2 linked regions of the Rattus norvegicus genome follow. The protein of the gene in region 2 interacts with the protein of the main gene of each other region in a pairwise test. Links are inferred from orthologs where the notes say so. Each region holds a gene or a part of one and is shown on either strand. Other genes may lie near its edges.

What was found. The genes of interacting proteins can lie anywhere in the genome.
Region 1: the proteins of Esr1 (region 2) and Tram1 interact in a two-hybrid assay, tested with the Homo sapiens proteins (2 studies listed by BioGRID). The link is inferred for Rattus norvegicus from reciprocal best matches to the Homo sapiens genes ESR1 and TRAM1.

The regions. Positions count from the first base shown.
Region 1 is NC_086023.1:10,439,359-10,449,642, reverse strand, and holds part of Tram1 (translocating chain-associated membrane protein 1), read right to left. Parts: intron 6,036-10,284; coding exon 5,965-6,035; intron 5,869-5,964; coding exon 5,764-5,868; intron 4,427-5,763; coding exon 4,283-4,426; intron 4,008-4,282; coding exon 3,847-4,007; intron 522-3,846; coding exon 448-521; 3' UTR 1-447. UniProt on the Homo sapiens protein: Involved in the translocation of nascent protein chains into or through the endoplasmic reticulum (ER) membrane by facilitating the proper chain positioning at the SEC61 channel.
Region 2 is NC_086019.1:43,506,552-43,517,535, forward strand, and holds the start of Esr1 (estrogen receptor), read left to right. Parts: upstream 1-5,138; 5' UTR 5,139-5,592; intron 5,593-10,984.

The DNA.
Region 1 (10,284 bases), on a different chromosome or scaffold from region 2:
CCATTTCACCCTGAAAGACAACTTAAAAAATACGACCTTCCTAGAACAGGTCACCTTGCTATAATATTGTAAAAAATTGGTGAGAGCAAGAAAAATGTTCACTGGTTATGTGTGTGTGTGGGGGGGTGTTTGTAAATGGTTTCTCCCTAAACCATTAGGGAAAAACATTAAAGACAAAAAGGAAAAACAAAAAAACAAAAAGGTGGTCCCTAAACTATTTGAAGGCAGGTAGCTGAGTCTAAGCTAAAGTATTTCTCAGTCAGAGTAATCAATCACCTCAGAGTAATCAATCACCCTCCCCTCAGACGCCCCTCACAATGCAGGAACAGTGCAACAGCAAAATCAAAGAGCAAACTGTATTTTCAAGAACAGAAGAGTCGCTAGTGCTGAAGGACAGAGTAGAAAGCAGATTCTTTGGGGGACATCAGTCAGTCAGTTTCCGGCCCATTAGGAAGACTTCTCTTTCCTGCTCCGAGGAGAGTCGGCTCCATTCGACGTGACCGTGCCGTTCACACCATTCTCTGAAACGAGACATGACAGCGGGCGTTGTTCTTGGCATCATAAGCTAATGAGAGCAGTAACTGTCAGTCACAACGTCTCTGCAGGGACGGGGTGAAGTCCCAAAGTCTCAGGGAAAATCTGTGATCTCTAATGTGAAGGAGGGCTTGGGAGCAGGAAGTTAAAGGGAGGTGAGTGCCATTAAATCGAGTGAAGGGGCGGGGCAGGGGACTGGTGAACTCACAATGTTCACAAACATACTCCTCCACAGCAGTCCCCACAGGACATGGGGCTCTCTCCCACTGCATGGCAAAGCCATTTGGGTTATTTCTTTATAAAACAGAAACGTTATTAGGGATGGAAGCATTTACAGCTGAGGGTGAACTGACAGTGAGCCCGCTGTGGTAGCACACACTTCAATCCTGGCATGCGGGAGGCAGAGCATGTGGGTTCACATCCATATATAGAATATGTGACCTGTGGGGCACACAGAAGCATTTATTGAACTTGGGTACAGGCTGAGCTGTAATCCAAGTCTCAGCAAATTTTAGGAAGGAAAATCCTTTGAAGGGTAGTCTTAAATCACAGTGCAATTTAGACACCAGAAAGAGGACAAGCAGGAAAGTTATGGCTCCAATGAGAAACCAAATTAACAACTAGGAAGTGTTTGGAGCCAAACAGCGCTCAAGGCTTGAGGAGTGTAGCCAACACAGGATGAGGAGATGGTTTTCCCTCAACTCTGGATGATTCTCAAGGAGCAGTGAAGACCATGACCAGAAGTCAAGAAGGGGACCCCCAACAGCAAAAGAGCCAACCAAACTTAGAGCTGGAAGCGTGAGTAGGAACTGACATAGTAAAGACAGACAAACATGTAAAGAAAAAATAATCAAGAAAGACTTAAAAGTACTTTTGCGTTGTTTCAGCACTAGAAATTTTTTTTAAAGAATTATTTATTTTATGTATATGAGTAAGTACACTGTAGCTGCTGTCTTCAGACACACCAGAAGAGGGTGTCAGATCCCATTACAGATGGTTGGGAGCCACCATGTGGTTGCTGGGAATTGAACTCTGGATCTCTAGAGAGCAGTCAGTGCTCTTAACCGCTGAGCCATCGCTCCAGCCCTCAGTGGTGGATCTTATACCCTGGAATTCACAGATTCTAGGTGGGTGCCCTACCTTGAGCTACATCTTAGCTCTTAACATGCTGGGGTTTTGACTAAGAAGAAAAACAGGCATAAATTCTTGAAAAAAAAAATCACAAGTTGCTGGAAGGGAGAGGTTAAACAGAGACTTAGTTCCTTATCTGGAGTGTAAACCTGCAAAGATGGAGTCACTGTTAAATCTCCCAACAGCTAACAGCACCAGACTGACCAAGGGACGGACAGATTTAATGCTGTCTATAAAGCTAGCAGAACTGACAAGGGGGAAACGTGCTAATTATAGGACACTCTTTTATAGGAACAGATGGAAAAAATCCTACCAAACAATCAAAACCAACAGAGCAAAGGTACAGTATCATCTGTCCCTAACATGGGTGTATGCCAGGAAGGAAAGAGGAGAGGGGGCTGGGGACAGTCCTTGCAGCATCAACTTGAGGAAGGACTGCAAATGTCCCCACCCACGTGGACTGCTGTGAACACAAGGACCTGTAACTCCTTGTGTCCCACAGTGGGGACAGGAGGACTGTTGGGTCTACTGGCTGCCATCCTCAGTCCAGATTCAGTAAGAGGCCCTGTCTGAAGGGAGAGAGGCAGAGAGCAAGACAGCAGCGTTCTTGTGGGTCTCTACACCTGCACCATGCCAATCCTGTTCTCAACTCAGGACAACACAACATGAAGATTCTGGATTGGCAGGAACTGCATAAACTATTTTCACTGATAGATGATCCAAAAGAACTCACATTCACTAAACCACTTAACCCAAGTCCATCAAAGACTGCAGGAGACCAGATCGATTTGCAGAATCGACTGCACTTGTATACTTTGCACTGTACAATCGGAAAATGAAATTAAGGAGATGATTCTATTTTATAGCATCCAAAAGAGTAAAATATTTAGGGAGAAATTTAATCAAAGTTCTAGACATTTAGGTTGATAACTATAAAATTTAATTGGAAGAAATTAAAGAGCGGAATAAATGGAAAGACATCCCTGTTCATGCTCCCCAAGGCAATTTACAGATTAAAGGATTCTGAAGCAAAACTCCAAGTGCTTTTTGCACACACTAAAGGGAGGGTCCTAAAACTCACACAGAAATGCTAGACACCTGAAATGACCAAAACCTGAAAAGGAAAAAAACTGGAGAATCTTCCAGAGCCTGTAAAAACAGCCAGGCTGTGAGCTACCCACCCATCACCACAGCAAGGCAGTGAGCTACCCACCCCTCACCACAGCAAGATAGTGAGCTACCCACCCCTCACCACAGCAAGGCAGTGAGCTACCCCCCCCCCCCCCACCACAGCAAGGCAGTGAGCTACCCACCCCTCACCACAGCAAGGCAGTGAGCTACCCAACCACACAGACACATCAAGGGGGTGTCTACCCACATAACACAGCAAAGCACTGCACTGTTTGCACAGTGGCAGGCTCTTAAACACATCTGGCAGAGGCCAGAGCTCAGATGGGTCTCATCCTAAACTTCATCACGGAGAGAACGAAGCTGGGAAGGTGCAGCTCCCTAACATGGTGTCACTATGCAGCAACAGTCTGGCTCGCCCTAATGACCCGCAGCTCCTCAGCAGATGCTCACCCAGGAGACAACGGAGGAGTGTGCAGACAAAGACAAGGGTTGCTTACCTCACCTTACTGCTAAAAAAAATTCACAGAACCCCAATGTCCTCCAGCCAGCCAAAGTATGGCATGTTCACACACGTAGCCTGACGGCTCAGCAGGAGAAGGTGCGGCTGCCAGGTGGGTGGGCGGGCGGGCCTGAGCTCCGCCTCCAGGCCCCAGAAAGCTGAAAAGGGCTGCTCCCCCAGCCTTGTCCACTGCCCTCCACATGCACACCTAGGCCTGTGCACACTCGCCCTCCATAAATAAAAATGTAATTTACAAAAATGTAAAAATATTACGCTATGGTTGACACGGAATCTGAGCGATTGGCTGCTTTGTCAGTCGATCCCCAGAGCCCACGGGAGATGGAAGAACGGCCTCCCAGGGGCCTCTGACCTCCAGACGGCACAGACGCCTCTTCCCAACACACACAGAGGAACACTGTGCCACGAAGCAGTCACGGCTGACCGCACGCTGCTCTGTTCCGTGTGCAGAACTACCTAGCAGAGCTCTGGGACGCAAAAGCCCCGTAGCTATAGCTTCTACCTGTGCTCTCACGACTGAAGTCAATACCAACCTGTTCCTTTTCTGGAAGACCTGCCTTTGGTCACAGCCGGTTTCCTTTTCACGGGAGGGGCCTGGAAGGCAGAATGTTCCCTCCACCTCCGAAGCTGGAAGTTAATGAACTTCCACATCATGAAGGCTTGAGTGATGCAAATGGACGCTAGGACCGCGATCCTGAAAGGCAGGCCGAGGACAGCACAGAAGTTAGACTATGTCAGAAAACCCACGGATAAAGTATTCTACCATGATCTGGATAATGATGAAGACTCTGTTGATGCTTAATGCTAAGGAATTTACTGAGAAATCCATCTTAGAGGTTAAGCAAAGGCTTTAGTACGTCCCATGTGGACAGAAAGCAACAACAGCCCCCAGGTACCCCTCACTCATTACAGGCGACAGGTGAGGCTGACAGCACGGCCAGCAACAGTGGGAGGGGAAAGGAACTGTACCTAACCGCCAACACATTGAAGTTCCCAGTACTGAAGTCCAGCTTCTGGTTCTCTGCTCTTGCCAGGCCAAAGCCAACAGTGAGGACTGAAAGAATTAGGGTCAGAAGTCTTCCCAAAACAAAAAGAACCGCCCAAAGAGAAAACCTGTAGGAAGACAAGCAAAGTCACAGAAGAAAACCGTTTTAGAGACGGTTCTTAGGGACTTAGATCCCCCTGAGCAAATGCGTGTTCTGGGCGTGCACGTGTGTGGCTGAGCCTGTGAAGACTGATCAGTGAGGCGTCTTCCTCAGTTATCCCCACCTTACTGAGACAAGGTCTGCCACTGAAAAGAGAATTCACTGACTGCTAGCCTGGTTCGCCCAGCCCTGGAATAATCTCACTGTTACCCCATACCTGGCTTTCTATATGGGGCTAGGGATCTGAACTTGGGTCCTATTGCTTGCACTGTAAGCATTTTCCCACCGAACCATCTTTCTAGTCCCTAAAAACAGCATTTCTTATTCTGCAAAAGGATTTCTGTATTCAAATTCCTGGGAAACACTACACAATGTGGCATCCTATCAGAGGTTCACAGCATTGGATACCATAGTCAGGTTTTCCAGAACTAATTGAGTATTTTGTTCACTGTGAAGTACTCACAATGTGCTTTAGAACTTATGTTACAGTGAGCGACTGCAACATGCTGAGCACGGGGCCAAGCCAGTGCTGCTATAAACAACCGTTACCAACTCCCTTCTCAGAGGGCCACAGACGTCACCTGCTGCAAGTTACCTTCCCATCTGAGTCTCTATCAAAGTCTTTCCATAGCCTTAAGACTATATCAGCCATTTTCTATTTTCTTTCCGTTTTTAAACAATTTCCTTTATGGTGTGCATGCTGCAGGGGAAAGGACCCATGCATGCCATGTGAGGTCAGAGGGCAGCTGTGTGGATTTGGTTCTCTCCTTACACCTTTCTGTGCTTCTAGAGACAACCTTAGGTCTTTGAGTAGCACCAGGCTGTCCCTTTATTTTCTCCTGAACGTTTTCTTCTTTATTGCTCCTTTTCTCAAAAGAAAGCCGTGATACTGCAGCCTCAGAGACACTCGGTCCAATACAGTGTCCTTCCAGCTGAGAGACACTATTTGGAAGAATAGAGTATAGACTATGAACACTGGTTTTTAAAACTATTTATCTACTCATTTATGTGAACATGTGGGTGTTGTCCGTGTACCATGTGTACGCATAGTGCCTGCTGGGACCACACGAGAACATTGGATCCCCTGGAACTGGGGTTACGGATGGCTGAGCCACCAGGTCGGTGCTGGGAATTAAACCCAGGTCCTCTGCACTGAGTCATCTCTCCAGTCCACAGTACAAATATTAAGTGTGGTTCTGCCTCCTTTTCATGTACTACTAACGCAACTGTAGAATTCTCAAGGACACAGGCATGACAACAACTTAGTCACTGACTGCAAATCCCCAAAGAGAGGACAGCACTTACCCTTTCTGGTACTTCTCGTCACTAAAATAAAATAGACGAGAAATGTGGAAAAGAAATTCAACGAAATAGTGCAGCACCAGAAGAACAAGGCCCAGATGGTTCAAGCTGTTGAAAGAAACACAAAGAAGAAAGGCTAATTACCAACTCAGACAAATTAGCGCGCTACCTGCCAGCCACACCCATGGCCAAACCCCAACTCACTTCAGAAGGTAAGCCCCAGCAATGTGGAAGAGGTAAAGACCGATGTAGACAAGCTGGCGAGGAATATCTTCCTGCAAAGACAAAGCACCGGTGAACAGCATGGTCAGCACTTCCGCTTTAATGGCATCAGCCTTAATGCATTTCTTACATCCAAACGACCTTTCTGCTAGTCACCGACCAAGTCAGTAATGGGGGCAGGTAAAGCCATCACCAAAATCCATGGCCACAAGCAGTAACTCCCTGGGATGCTAACGCAGCATCAACAGCTTTCAGACAACAATTTTCAGGGGGGACTTTCCCTCAACTGTGCACAAACAGGGGTCTGCGCGGCAGTGCTCGCCTACTCCAGGGTTCCACAGAGCAACGATGAACATAGGAAAACTAAGTTCTGCTTCCCGTGGCTGTGGTCTTGGACAAGTCAGCTCAACTCTGCATCTGAAGCCCAAGATACCACCAAGGGAATATCGAAGCGAGAACAGAGAGGCACCGGAGAACACGAATCCCAGCTACGAGTAAGGCTAAGTAGAAACAGCTGGTTGAGGACATGACTACTTCAGGGCACTGAACCAGGGCAAGCCCCACATTGTTCTCCAGTCTTCCTGGAAGCACGGCCATGGGGCCCTTGGGGCTCACAGGTGCGGGGCTGACAACCACACTCAATCTGTGCCGGTCTCTGGTGTGGGGAAAAGGAGAGAACCGAGGCAGCTGGGTAGAACTGGCTGTCTGAGCAGCTCAGAGAGCAGTCTGTGGTGAATTGTGAGTAGGTCACCTGTGGGAAGACGGCTCATCACAGCTGTGGAAACTAGAGGCTAGCCAGACACAGCGGGAGAAGCAGGAGTGCGTGTTCTCTGCACGCTCTTTTCTGTTGTCTTATTTGTTGTGAGAATTGCCTTTTCTACCAGAAGCCACAGTGAGATTTTGCTTATGATTAACACACAAAATGTTTCTAACAGTGAGTCATTTAGTAGTGTTTCAGAGAAAGTTCTGTGGTGTGATTCTGGATGTGTCCTTCCATGCTTGGCCATTTTACTCTCAACACTGATGTCCATACAGCTATAGCAAGAAGGAAATTGTGGACTGACATAAAATTTGGATAATCTCAGGCTGGAGAGATGGCTCAGAGGTTAAGAGCACTGACTGCTTTTTCAGAGGTCCTGAGTTCAGTTCCCAGCAACCACACGGCTGTTCACAACCATCTGTAATGGGATCCGATGCCCTCTTCTGGTGTGTCTGAACAGCGACAGTGGACTCATATAAATAAGGTAAATACATCTTTAAAAACTGGTATGTTTGGGGCTGGGGATTTAGCTCAGTGGTAGAGCGCTTGGTTAGGAAGCGCAAGGCCCTGGGTTCGGTCCCCAGCTCCGAAAAAAAGAACCAAAAAAAAAAAAAAAAGAACAAAAAAGAAAAAAAAACTGGTATGTTTAAACTATGAATTCCGAAACTTCTATTTGTTCTTCTGGGATCTTTTTATTAAAGAACTCTTGTAGATTTTTATTTTCATAAGAAAACATTTCTTGACAACACAAGCTTTATTACAAGTGATCACACGTGGACTTACAAAATGTAAAGATTAAACCGGGTTTAAAAAGCTTTGTGTTACGGGGATGGTATCTGCTGATGATTTTGAGTAATAATAAATGTTTGTGAAAGGCACCACTGCCACCTTAAGATTCTGATCCAGGTCAGGCACCAACTCAGAGAAAGCTTTAGAAGTCCAGAGGGAGGCTGGAGGGGTGAGCAGCAGAGGTTAGAGAGGTGTGTCTGACTGAGGCTGCCAATAAGCAGGGATGGGAAAACCATTTATAAACATTTGATATAACAATCAATTCTATTATCTGTAATCAAAGCTAATTTAATTACCAGCAACAAAACATTTGCTTCCAAGTTCAAACTAGCTAAGGACAGGGTCCCACCTTATTTTGCCCACACAACCCTACTTCAGCCTCCCCAGTACCTGGCACTGTGGTTACTTACACACTATAGGGCCTGGCTAAGAAGTGGCACTGCCAATCTTCTGGGCTAAAGGAGACGTGGGCACACTGAAGTCGCATGACTTAAACATTCCCATCCAGAGCACTAAGCTCTCCCCCCACTCCACTGTTCACACTGTCCTTTCTTACTGCCCCCTCTGCCTGTGAGAGTCCCCCCAATGTTCACACTGTCCTTACTCCCCCTCTGCCTGTGAGAGCCCCCCACCAATGTTCACACTGTCCTTTCTTACTCCCCCCTCTGGCTGTGAGACTGCTGCAAAGCAGTCACAGCACTAAGTTTCTTCCAGGAAAGATTTCTCTCCAAAACACATTTCATAGAGCAAATTTTAAGAAACGGTTTAACACATATGCAGCTGTTACTTTCAAATTATGCTAATTACTTGAAACAGTTACTTTCAACTGTCACGTGTAAGTGTTAAAAATAGTTTCAGTTAAGTTCTAAGTTATGCAAATTAGTCCATAAAAATGAGACCACACTTCTGGAGAAGTGCCATCTGGCAGCAACCGATAAGAAAGAGCTCTAGGAGCTAAAGGAACGACTGCTTTGAAAAGTCCCTTTTTTGCTCACCAGGGTCAGTGCACAAGAGATAGACTTGGATCAATAATGAAATCCAAAGGTATTATTCCCACAGGTATGCAGACACCTAAAGAGAGCTTATAGTAGTTGAGCCCTGTCCAGTAGCCAATCATCAAGAAACTATGATAGTCTCTAGACTGTTGTCCAACAAAGCTTTTCACAATTACACCAACGTTCCCTAATCTGTCCAATTCACAAATAGTGGCACACACATCTATCACTTCCCCTTAGTCAGGAGAGACTGAGGAAGGAAGATCATGAGTTACAAACCAGACTAGGGCCACACAGAAAAACCATGTTTAAAAATGTGTGTGTGTGTGTGTGTGTGTGCGTGTGTGTGCGTGTGTGTGTGTGTATCTTCTATACAAAAGGACAGTTGTGAGCCTCACAGGGATAAGGGGCGTTGAATACGGCTAGTGTAACTATGAAGTAAAACTGTGTTACTTTCATTTCTCTCCTGTGGCTGGCAGCTCCTGTTTTGCACAGCCCAGCCCCAGAAGACCCAAGTCTCACACGAGGAGCTCACCAGACAGGGAAGGGCTCCTGGAAATTGTGGGCCTAATAATTTTTCAGACATTCCAAAAAACGAGTGCCCTCACCTTAATTTGTCTGATCAACTGGCAAAGCATTGCTCTTTATAAAACAACACCATGTGCCAGAGTCCGTGGCTCCTACTTTGGTAGTTTGCTCATCAATCCTAGCAGACGCCTGGCACACGCACAGACCAGAGGGGAAAGGCCTATGTGTACTACATGCTTTTTAAAGACTATCTGTGGACTTTAGCAGGGAAGAGATAAATCTGTCAGTAAGTGGTTGTGATAAATGCACTTAGGAAAACTTCTTAAAGGGAGCTAAGACCAAACCTTCTTTCTGTGGCAAGTGTAAGCCACATAACCAACAAAAAGTAAAATGTACCCACGTGCAGCTAACTTCAGCTCAGTCATTCATACAAGACAGGAACTGTATCTTCCGATCCCTCCGTACACATTTGCCCTTCCCTGATATTACTTTCAAGTGAAGCCCACGTGGGTTGCTTATTATTATTACTCTTATTAAACTACTCCTACACAAGAATAAAGAACTATTGGACTAACTTCTCGTAGGGGAAAGGTAATCCTGACAGAGCAGCCTTCACATGGGAAGTGTAAGGCAAAGTGTACAGAATGGAGAGGGGAGGTTACAGAGGAAAGCACCCACCTACCCCACCCCAGCACAGTGCAGTGAGGCTGGGCAGGTTCTGTGGAGCCAGGAGAAGGAGTGGGGCGGTGACTGTGTACAGCTGGTGACTGACCCCAGCTTCCAGAAAGGGGGCATGGAGGGCTCCAGTAGTTGATCCACTTCTCTGAGCACAGGCCTCTCCCACAGGCTTGGAGAGGACTGCCCCACCCACCCCTCTCAGGAAGGGCTTCCCTGGTGAAAATTTAACTGCAGTTTACTTTGTCAACACAGATTTCTTCTTTTAGGCTTACATACAGAACTGCTAGTTGAAATTCAACTAGTTACTTGTGAAATAAATTGCTAAAAGATAAAAAACAGTAAGAGGAAGCTAACACATTAAAAAAAAGTTGGTTAAGTTTTAATTTAAATTACCACTAATTTAAAAGTGAGCAATCAGCCAAATGTAAAAGTTTAACAACATCAGAAGTGGATTGTTTTTTTTTTTAAAGAAATAGTTGGGAGTTTTAAATTCTGAATGAGGGGGAGGTGGAACACAGAAACAGAGCTGAGGCCAAGGGCACAGGCACATTC
Region 2 (10,984 bases):
TATAAGAGGGTGCGTTTTAGTTCTGGTCTCCCTTGACTTCTGGCTCTTACAATCTTTCTGTTCCAGTCTTCTCTGAGGGCTTGGGGGAGATTGTTGTTCTAGCTATTCCGTTTGTGGCTGAGCACTCCAAAGATGCTCGCTCTCTGCCCTTGGATCAGTTGTGGGTTTCCGTGATAACTGCCGTTCTCTGGACAAAGAGATTTCTCTGATGAAGACTGAGAGCTGCACTACTCCATAGAGAGACACTAATTTATTTAGAAGGCACCTTGTTACCAGGTCCACTAAGTATCATACTATTAGTAAGTTCAGCCGTGGGGCTCATGAACTCCCCAGCCTTGGGTTCTTGGCCAGACTTACAGCAACAAGCATGAGTTTCCTTCACCCTTCTCTGACTTGTAGTTTGACCTTGCCTTCCACAGAAAAGTCTGTGAAGTCTGTGTTTGTGTATCTGGAAACTGGAAAGGGTGGGGTTTAGAGAGAGGGTTTGGGAAGGTCAGTGGATGTCTTAAGAAAACTTTGCATTTATTTATTTAATGTGCACATATGTTTGCATGTGTGGAAGTCAGAGGACAGTTTGCTGGAATTTGTTCTCTTCTTCATCATGTGGGATCTGGAGTTTGTACCCAGGTCATCAGGCATGGGAGCAAACATCTTTACCCACTGAGCCATCTCACTGGGCCCCTAGAGCGATTTTTGAGTAGAGTGTACACTGTTTTTACTGTAAATCACCACATATGTGATTCTACAAACATGAAAGCCCACGAATCTTAACAGAAAACTTTGCATAATAATTTCCTGGTAGGGGTTTTTGTTGGTTGCTTGATTCATACTTTTCCTGTGTGGTGAAGTCTTTCTACTAATGGCTTAATGTTGACTTGAATCAGATCATTTCTAAAGTATTTACAAGCTATTTTCTGAAAGAAGACAGCTCCCACCCCATTTCTGCCCATTGAGGACGTCTTTACCCTTAGAAGCTTCAGTTAGAGCTTTAATGTTGAGGGAAGGGAGTAGCCTCCTTGGATGTTGGCCACACCATCGTGATGTTGCCAACCCCATCCCATCCCTGTACACTGCAAATACAACTGCTGGGTTTTGTGTCTCCTATGACAGCACGTGAAGTACAGAAGAAGATGTCCTCAGCCTCCTAATGATAAGTTACCGCAGAACGTCAGATCTATGTGAGTGTGAGATCTATGTGAGTGTGGCAAATGGAGTGAGGTAGTTGTGGGTCCAGGGTCCAATGCCCGCTAATCTCTGCTGACTGATTTTTCTCTGCCCATTGATAACTTCACTTAACTAGGAGTCTTTGCTTCCTGTGTCTTCTACTGTACTACCCCAAGATGTCCTTGCAGAGGCCCACTACCCTGTCGAAGCTTAAAAATTCATATTCCTGAGAGCCCCCTGTAGTTGGCTATTATGTTCATTAATTTTCTTGTTGCCATGATAGAATACATGAGATAAAAATTTCATGTAGAAAAGACTTATGTTGGTTTATGGTTTGAATGGTTCCAGTCCATCAAGAGGACAAGGTTTGGTGGAGTTCACTGCCACAGGACCAAGAGGCTAGAATTCCTCACACACTGGAGTTCGAGAAGCAGGCCAGAATTACGACTTAGCTATAACCAACAGGCTTAGATTCCAGCTGCCTGCATTCCCTAATCACATCCCACTTTTAAGAGGTTTACAATCTCCCTAAAGAGAGCCACTGGCTGAGAACTACACATGGGAGAATATTTCACATTCAAACCGCAGTACTAACAATCAATTCTGATGTCTTAGATCCAGTGCAAGATCACTGGTCAAGCAGATGCCTAATAGTTACTCAATTAACAATTAGAGGCAGGAGATAGGAAGATACCAGGCAACAGGAGCTATGGACTGGACAATTTCTTTACCGAAGTGGCTGGGTAAGTGGTCAGGGACTGTTTGCTATCTCCAGGTAGGAGATCTCAATTTGAGTTTCTCTTTATAAGGAGAACCAGAAATTCATGGCTACTTTCTCCAGTGTGGTGGAATTGAGAGAGCCTTTGAGCCGTGCTCAGTGGAAGCATGGTTAATAAAGACAAATGGAGAATTGGGGCAATTACCTATATATTTGAGTCTCAAGATCTGCTATCATCTGGGGTTTTGTACAAAAACACACACTCCAAATAAAAAAAATATTTTAGCCTGAATCACCCGTATCATAGCAAGATTTTACTTGAATGACCCAGACAGACTACATCAATTTTCTGCTTTCCTTTGCTGTGGAAACTGGGCTGTTAGTGGTTACTTTGGAAATAAAAGAATGTATCAAAGAAAAAAACCCAAAAAACAAAATACAAAAACCAAGGTTGTAACCTAGAAAAACTTCTAGAATTCCATCGTTTGGTGTTTCTTAATAAAGTGAATCACATGAAGAGGGGTCGCATAGGCTGGGCCTCTCTTATTATTGATAAGGATGTAGCAGATGGCATGCTCTTGATGAAAGGTTATTTTACATGTGGAAGTACACATGTGCGGAAATGAGGGAGACACCCCGCTTCACTTGGAATGGTCCTGAAGATTTGATTGGTTCTGTATTTGTTTCAATTGTACCACCGTCCACTTCTTCAGTTAAATTGTCCTCTGTTATTCATCATTCAGTTAGTCTAATACTGTTAAATACAGTCTAATTAGACGTTTTTCCATCAAAGGAGAGTTTTGCCCCATGAAAAAGCACAGAATATTTTAAAACAATGTTTTTTTGGTCTTGGCAAACATCTACCTACCTACCTACCTACCTACCTACCTACCTACCTACCTATCAGTCTCTCTCTCTCTCTCTCTCTCTCTCTCTCTCTCTCTCTCTCTCTCTCTCTCTCTCTCATCTGTAGTGAACTCATGCGAAAGCTAAACTGCGGAACGACTCCAGTACAACACACACCTCCATGTTTGTTGCCTGGGTGCGGTTCTGTGTGTCCTCAGAAGTTGCAGCAGAGGTCTATGGCATGGAGGCTTGACTTGGATCCCTGAGTTTGAATACCGGCTCTAGCCAGTGTATGTAATCTCAGCATCCCATAGCTTCCTTGCCAGTCAGTAGCACCTGGCTTCGTGTTCGTGGGTTGTAAAGTGCTTCGAGCACCTGTCCTGACACCATAGACACCTGCATTCATCTGGAAGACATTTTCTGGTGTTTTCATTCTTTCCCACTTAAGAAAGCATAGTATAGAATGCAAAGGGGGGCATTATAACTGTCCCTTAGGGACACACTGTCTCAGATACATTTTTATATTACACATGTGTATTTGCAAAGAAAAGGGCATAGAGACAGGGGAGAAGGCTCAGTGGATAAGACTGCTTGTTCTGAAGGCATGAGGTCTTGAGTTTGAAACTCTGGCATTGTGTAAAGATGCGGGGCATGGCTATGTGTGGCTGCAATGCCGGCCAACCTACACATTCCATTTCTCTCTGTCTCTGTCTCTGTCTCTGTCTCTCTCTGTCTCTCTGTCTCTCTCTCTCTCTTTCTCTCTCTCTCTGTGTGTGTGTGTGTGTGTGTGTGTGCACGCGTACTCGCATGTGATAGGTGGATCCCAAGAGCTCACTGGCCGAGTAGCCCAGCCAGCTTCCCATTCCCTGTCTCAAGGAAACGCTGTGGAGAGCAACAGAGAAGCACACCAGTGTCTTGCTTTGGCCTCTGCATCATGGACAGAGGTGTGTGCTTCCCTGTGTCTGTCCACTTATTCATATGCATCCCCTCCACAACAAAGCAATACTCGACACTTGCTTCTGAGTCTGATGGATGTTCTATTTAGAGAACTCCTGCCTTAGGTAATTTTCTTCTCTGGATTGATGTGTACAACTGATTCTAACAGGTAGCTAAATGCTATTTGAAAGCATGATTCATCCAACCTGGCAAATCAAATAACAGAGGGATTCAATTAATTTAGAGGGAAAAAAACCACTTGGCTTTTAAAATGTTTGAACTATTCAAAACATTTTGTTGACTCACTTACCTCTCACAGGAAATCATAATAAAAACAATAAAGCCAGGGCCATCTTTGCCATGCTGAGGCTATAAGATTATTCCTTCTATAAATGAGTCTTATTAAGTTTAATGTTCTTTAATTTGAAATAAAACATTTCAGACAAGAAGTAAAACGCATCCCACTCTGTGAGGTCTGGGGGAATTAAATTCAGACACATTTGTGTATTTGAATTATTTTGAGGCCAAACTCACTAGGGTATAGAAAACCGAAGACAACTACGACAATTTATTATAATGAATGTGTAGATCATCAGTCATGAGACATTTGGAGTCTTTTCTTTTCCCAGCCAGTTCTGAGATGCTTTTCTTACCCAGCATGCACCAGTGTTCATGCATAGGGATTGAGACAGTGACCAGAGGGGTCTCTTCTGGTCTTTTGCCTGCTACCATTCTTATTTCCAGAAAAGCATTCTTTCTCAGACTTATAGAATAGGAGAAAAAAACCACAACAAGACATTAAAACAACAACCCAGCATTTAAAGCACATGTTACATAAAACACAACAGATTTTATGAGCTATTAAAATTTCAAAAGGTCTAAAAATATTAAGGGTCTGTGGATCAGAGGTAATGTGTTTGGTTAGCACATCAAAGTTTTGGGCCTATCCCTAGTACCAAAAAGGAAAATAAATTTAATATATTTTTAATCTCAGATTATTACTTCAGAGAATTTGTCTCTGAGTTTAAAAAAAAAAGAAAAGAGAAACAAACAAAATAAGTTTTTAAAAAGTCAGTCATATTGGCTAATGCCTGTAATTTTAGCATTTAGGGATCCTGAGAGTTTAAGGCTCTGAACTGCAGAGTGAGACCTTGTCTCAACAAAACAAAACAGAACAAAACAAAACAAAATGCAAGATTAAATCCCCAAAGCAAACAGGACTTGTAAATCACATCAGGAAATGTCAAGCAGTTTATAGAAGGCTCATACACCTGAAGGATTTCAGAGTTAGCTCGGGCTAAGCTGGTGCAAGTTTCCAAAATCAGGAACACCATTAATCAGTGACAAGAATTGCTGAGCGACTGGCTTAGCTCTTTGAGTCAATGAGTGAAAGAGAAACTCTGAGAAGCGCTCACCTTAGAAACACCCTTATTACCCTTAGCTAATTTTGGGTGAGGAAAATTTGTGTGCAGAAAGAACGCTTTCTTATTTTATTTTTCCAAGTCAACATGCTCGTCTAGACTTTGAGCTTTATTGCAAGGAAAGAGAAAATGGGTTGGATCACCTTTAAAAAAAAAAAAAAGTCTCAGCTAGCTTCACCAGAAGCTTGTCCCTCTGCAAACATCTATCTGTAGGCAAACGCTGAGAAAGTTGGAATCAGGCCTGGCTGGAGAGAGGAAAGCCACCCCCTCCCCTATTATCCGGAGCAGAGTTTCCAATCCCAGTCAAGTGGTGGTGCTAGCTCTTTGCTTCCGAGTCTGCATTTCCTAATTTCATGGTCATAACAGCCTCCGAACGGATTCTACCAAAACCGAAAACACAAGGCTCCATGCTCAGCAGCCCTGTGACGCCAGGAGAGGCCAATGCCCCCTCCTCTGCCATTGTCTAGCCTAAGAAGGCAGTCTCTGGGCGACATTCTTCTAAAGCAGGTACTTCTATTTATCTCCATTTCTTTACAATTTCCCCCCCTTTCGGCTATAATGTGCTACTGTGTGCAATCAGGATGGAGTCTCAGAGTTCACTTCTGTGAAAATATGCCCATTTTTCTCTCGCTCATTGCTCCAGGGATATTTTATAAAGTTTCTGGCAACCGTTATCATGTTAAACCTGACCTTGGTCCCATGGAAATTCACTCTGGGAGCTACATTCAGCTGAGTCAGACACAGTTATCTGTTCGTAGTGCAGCACTGACAGGCTCTCTCTGCCTGCCTCAGATCGCGTGTATTTATTGGTCCCAGGTCGAGCTATGGGGGATTCTGTATGGTTGAAACGTGCGCGAGTTTAAAAAAGTTCCTGCTCAGACTTCCCTCTGTACTCGTCTCAACATGACCTCGTTTCTTAATCTTCGGTGCCGTGAGCTTATGTGAGCTTGATCTAAGCGACTGCAAAAAGCCATCATCTGTTTTCCTGAATAGGCAAACGAGTTTTCTGAAAAGCTACGCAATCTAGTAATGCATCTTGTCTTGAAGTTGCCCTACAATTGTAGGCAAGTTCTGAGCCCTGTGGGTTTGGGTTTGGTTCTCTCTAACCTGAAAATAACCATGGGAAACTGCTTTTTTTTTTTTTTTTTTTTTTTTTGAGGCAAGGTGGTATGCGGGTTAAGGACGGTGCCACAGAGCGAGTGCCACTTGTCGGTGACGTGGTAGTTACAAAAGGCAGAAAAGGATACTTTCATTTTGGCCACAGGAAAGCCACCCGTTTCCTGTAGTGGAAAGTCTCATGCTTGACCAAGAAGTTGCCAGTGTTTGTTCTCTCTGACTTGCCCAAAAAAGTCTAGCTGGTTAAAATTTATTTTAATTTTTTTAAACCTAATGTAAGGGTTGGGTTTTATTAAGATGATGTTCAATCGTGACATGCGGTACCACTCAAGGGTGCCAGATGTTTTAAAATTAGCTTCTTGGGCCAAATCTAATAGATTTACAGAGCACCTCCACCCACAAGGTTTATGGGAAATGTATTTGGTTTTGAATTTGAAACAATAATGTATGCAGAGAGGACGGATGTTGGAGTACCAATTTAAAGTATTTGAACTTTTTTTTTTTTTAACAAAGTCAGTAGGGTGGGAACCTCTGTCATCTCAGGGATCAGAAACCTATTTATATTCATTAAAATTCTTTCCTGTTTCTCAAAAAAAAAAAGGCGGCAAATGTTTGCCCACATTTTGTCAATAGCCCCTGAAGGCCCATTCTAGGCCCTGTACAGCTGTAATGCTATAGAGGTTGGATCCAGTCTTGTAGCGACTGGTGGATTTTTGTCATAGAAATTAGAAGTAACACTGACATAGAGATGAGAGACAAGGCAACCAGGAAAATTGGCAAAATATTGAGTGTGAATGCCAGGGTTATATTCATGAGTGGGAGGTGCTGTTTTGACACGTGAAGGTTGTTGTTCAGTTTGGTTGCCCACGACAGTAAAGGAAGAGAATAAGACAACTTGCTTTCCTTCAGCCTTTCACTCAGTTTAGGACTTAGAACCACTTGCTTCTCGTCGTCCTCAGACATACAAACTCCTAAGCCCGTAGACATCCCACCAGATGCCTGCTGTGTGTGCTAACACAGGTGGTTATCTCTGCCTGTCTCTGTACTTTTGGTCCACTTGGTCAGAATGTGTGCTTGAGATGAGGCCACAGTTGAGCTGAAGTTTGTTCCATGGGTACAGGGAGGCTGTAGAGAAAAACAGACAAGAGAGACCACCATGCCTCTGTTCTGCTAAAACATGTAGGAGGTGTGATCCTGTCCATCCACCTCTGCCTGGGTTGACTGGCTGTTGTTTACTGAGAAAGTGATACCACCTATGAGGTTCCTGCAAAGAGCCTAACAAAGTGTGTGTGTGTGTGTGTGTGTGTGTGTGTGTGTGTGTGTGCATGAGGTATATGTGTGTAGGGGCATGTGTGTTCCACAGTGAACATGTGGAGGTCAGAGGACATTTTGTGGAGTCACTTCTCTGCCATCTTCTCATGGGCTCTGGGGATTGAACTCAGGACACCAGGCTTGCTCAGCAAGTACTTTACCCCTGAGCCATCTCACTGAACCCCCTGATGCTCTTTTTAAAGGTAAGCACTTTACAGGTAACTTTTGCTAAAGATAGTTATGATAGCTGTGATTTCTGTCTCTCTAGCAACATTTCAATAGTCTTCTTCTACATCAGCCTAGGTTAGCCTAGTTAGGGTTCTGGTTAGCAAAACTTCATGCATGACTTTCTAGGGTGTGTGTGTGTGTGTGTGTGTGTGTGTGTGTGTGTGTGTGTGTAGACAGCCTCCAGCCGTGTGATGAAGCTTGCATGTGAGCTGCGGGTGGTGATGGGATGTTAGACAAAGTGTCATGTCTTCCTTGCGGTGTCAACCTCCTTGTGAGATGTTCTGTGGTGTGAGATGCGTGCGATGTAGGAGAAGCACTTTCTTTCCTGGTGCAAAAAAAAAAAAAAATCAAGAGTCTTGTTGGTGACACAGCCGCCACTCCATTATCTCAACTACAGTTTTCAGGAGTGTAATCTGGCTTACCCTCTCACACTCACCAGTTCTCAACCCTTTGGGGGAGGGGTCTCCCTGTGGAGAGTGGATGTGGATATGGCACTGCTGTCGTGAAGAGGATCACAGGACCTTCTTGCTACTGCTCATCACAAGGAGATGGGTGGGTGGGAAGGAGAGGACAATCATAGGGGAAGCCTCAAGTTGTCCAAGGATTGTCAATATGCGAAGTGGTTGGTGGCCCTGGTAACTGTCCTTCTCTGGAGTGGTGGCATTCCAGTTTTTTGTTTTGTTTTGTTTTGTTTTAAGATTTCTTATTCCTTGGTTCTTGTCAAAGCATTTGGCATTTGCTTAGGTGGCCATCAGCTGAACTCTCTAAATGGATCTCCTTCCCCACTTCCTTCAGAAGAGCCTCCCTGGTCCTTCTGCATTGGGGGCCTACAGGCTTGAGACCCTTTCTATCTCTGCTTCTCACTGGGAGAGTTCCTTTGATGATTGTGATAAGGAAATCCACAAGGGATTTTAAGTTTCTCTGCAAGATGGCATTCATCCTTTGACCTCTGAGCTTTATTTGCTACAATCAGTCATTCATTAGGACTTGCTTTATTATCAAACCTTACAAAGAAAGGGAACTTAGTAAAGCTGGTCACGTTGTGTAGTCCGTAATCCATTTCTGCATCTTTGTGTATAAAGCTATGCAACACTCGCACATCCTTTTCCAATAAGAGACACTGGGAATCCCATTTGCAAGAACTCTTGCTACTGGATATTTTGGCATCCAATTTATTCAGAAAAGAATGTAGTTCTGTTTGGCTTACTTACTAAATTCTTAATTTTGTCCAGGAATGAGAACATTGCAAAGCCCAACTGTGGCCCATTAAGGTCTGTTCTAAAGGGTCTGCTGCAGACCCTATTGGAAGTGCCCTAGGTGCCCACAGTGGGTTTTTGCTTAGGGTTGCATTGTGGTATGAAGAGGCTGGTACTCATCCACATTAAATATGCAACAGATGCCTTTGATTGAACACGATGCAGTCTTGGTGCTCTAGATGACTTTTATTATCAGAAGTGGAGAGTTGGGCACATAGTATGATGTGTCATCAATACAGAATAACCATGACATATGCTAATTTAGTAGAAAGCAATGTGTACTTCATAGAGATGAGAGCCATGGTACGGACACACAGGAAAGTCACTGCTGATTGGCATGGGGGACTTTGGGACAGGAAATGACACTTGGCCTTGACCCAAGAAGGATGGGTATGCTGCCCTGGGAAGATGTTAGGGGGTAAAAGATGCTATTCCAAGGTAAGGGACAATCACCTTGGGGGATCAGGAGTTGATCTGATAGGAAGATAAGTAGGAAGTATGCAGGGAGGTATTAGCAGTGAATTAGGACCGTGAAGTTAAATGTCATTTTAAGGACCTTGGACTTCATATTGGAGGCATTAAAGATTTTGGTGTGAGGTTGCAATGAAATGAGGTTTCCTTCTCTTTGGAAATAGATTAAGGTTTTTAGTTGAAGAGTTAGCACATCAATTTGGAGATGATTGGACTAGCTTAGGAGAGGTGAATTGCTAATTTAAAAGGAACAACTTAAATTGGGCAATTTAGCAAATCTTTTAAGACCCACTTTCTGAATTATGATTATTTATGGGGGCTAAAGACTTAGTCTCAAAAATGGCCAGTAGAGAGAGGCATGGGATGGGAGTCAAAAGATATTACTGTAAAGCGAGCCAGGTGGTGCAAGCCTTCAATCCCAGCTACTCAGGAAGCTGAGGCAGGAGATTCACTATTGGAAGGTCTACAGGGGTTATATGGTGAGATCAATACCAGCTTTGAAACTTGAAACTAATCCCCTTCTCGAAAGAGTCAGTTAGGAAAGGGTGAGGGATGTGACTCAGTATTAGAGAGCTTACTTAGAATATGCAAGATCCTGTGTTTATTTTCCAGCAATGAACAGACAGAAGACAGACAGACAGACAGACAGGCGTATGCTGAGTATTTTGCTATTTTTATAATTCAAAGATGGGTCTAGCAAGTAGCTGCCAAATGGCTGCTAGAAGGTTCCATTCAGGGATCACTAGGGACTAAACAGCACACTTTATATGCAAAATGCTTTTCTCCCTGGGGTATTTTTATAGCAAAATAATCTTATTTGGATAGAATATAGATTCATAAGAAAACAGCTCCTATTTGTATGACATGGAAACTGCTGAAATTATTGGTAATTTATACATACTTGTCAACCATGTACTCCAACATGCACTTTACACTGTGTACTCAAGCAGCCCTTTGACTTTGGAGGCCCAATTCCCTAGCAAGTAAGTGAAGGCATGGCACACCGGGTATGACCCCAACGTTGGTAGCAAATCCTGCTTCTGTACCTCCTGTCTTCAGCAACCTCCGTTTGGAATAGTGAGTCAAGACATTAGCATATGCACAATTAAGCCCATAGGTGCCAGTCTGGGAGTACAAGATGACTGATGTCATTGGAGGCTCTCTTAGGGAAGTCACTGAGTCCAGTGACTGGAGGTCCAAAGAAAAGGGGTGGAAGGAGGGTGTGCTTTTTCCCTTTCTCTTTTATCTTGTCCTTTAAAGGAGTAAGGTATGGTAAAATGTTACGGTGACAGCTGTAGAAGAAAATGCTTGTCTACTGGGGACAGGGATTGCACAGTCAGTAATCTCACTTCAGTTACAATGAATCTCAAAGGCTGCTGAGTGTCCCAGATTTCCTGTTTTGAGCAGAGAAGTACAGGGAGAGGGTGACAGGGTGTTACTCTGCTAGAGGGACATTGCTCATGTTGCTTTGGTGTCCTTCCCTCTGGTTCATTTTCAAAATTCACCAATCAAGGGAA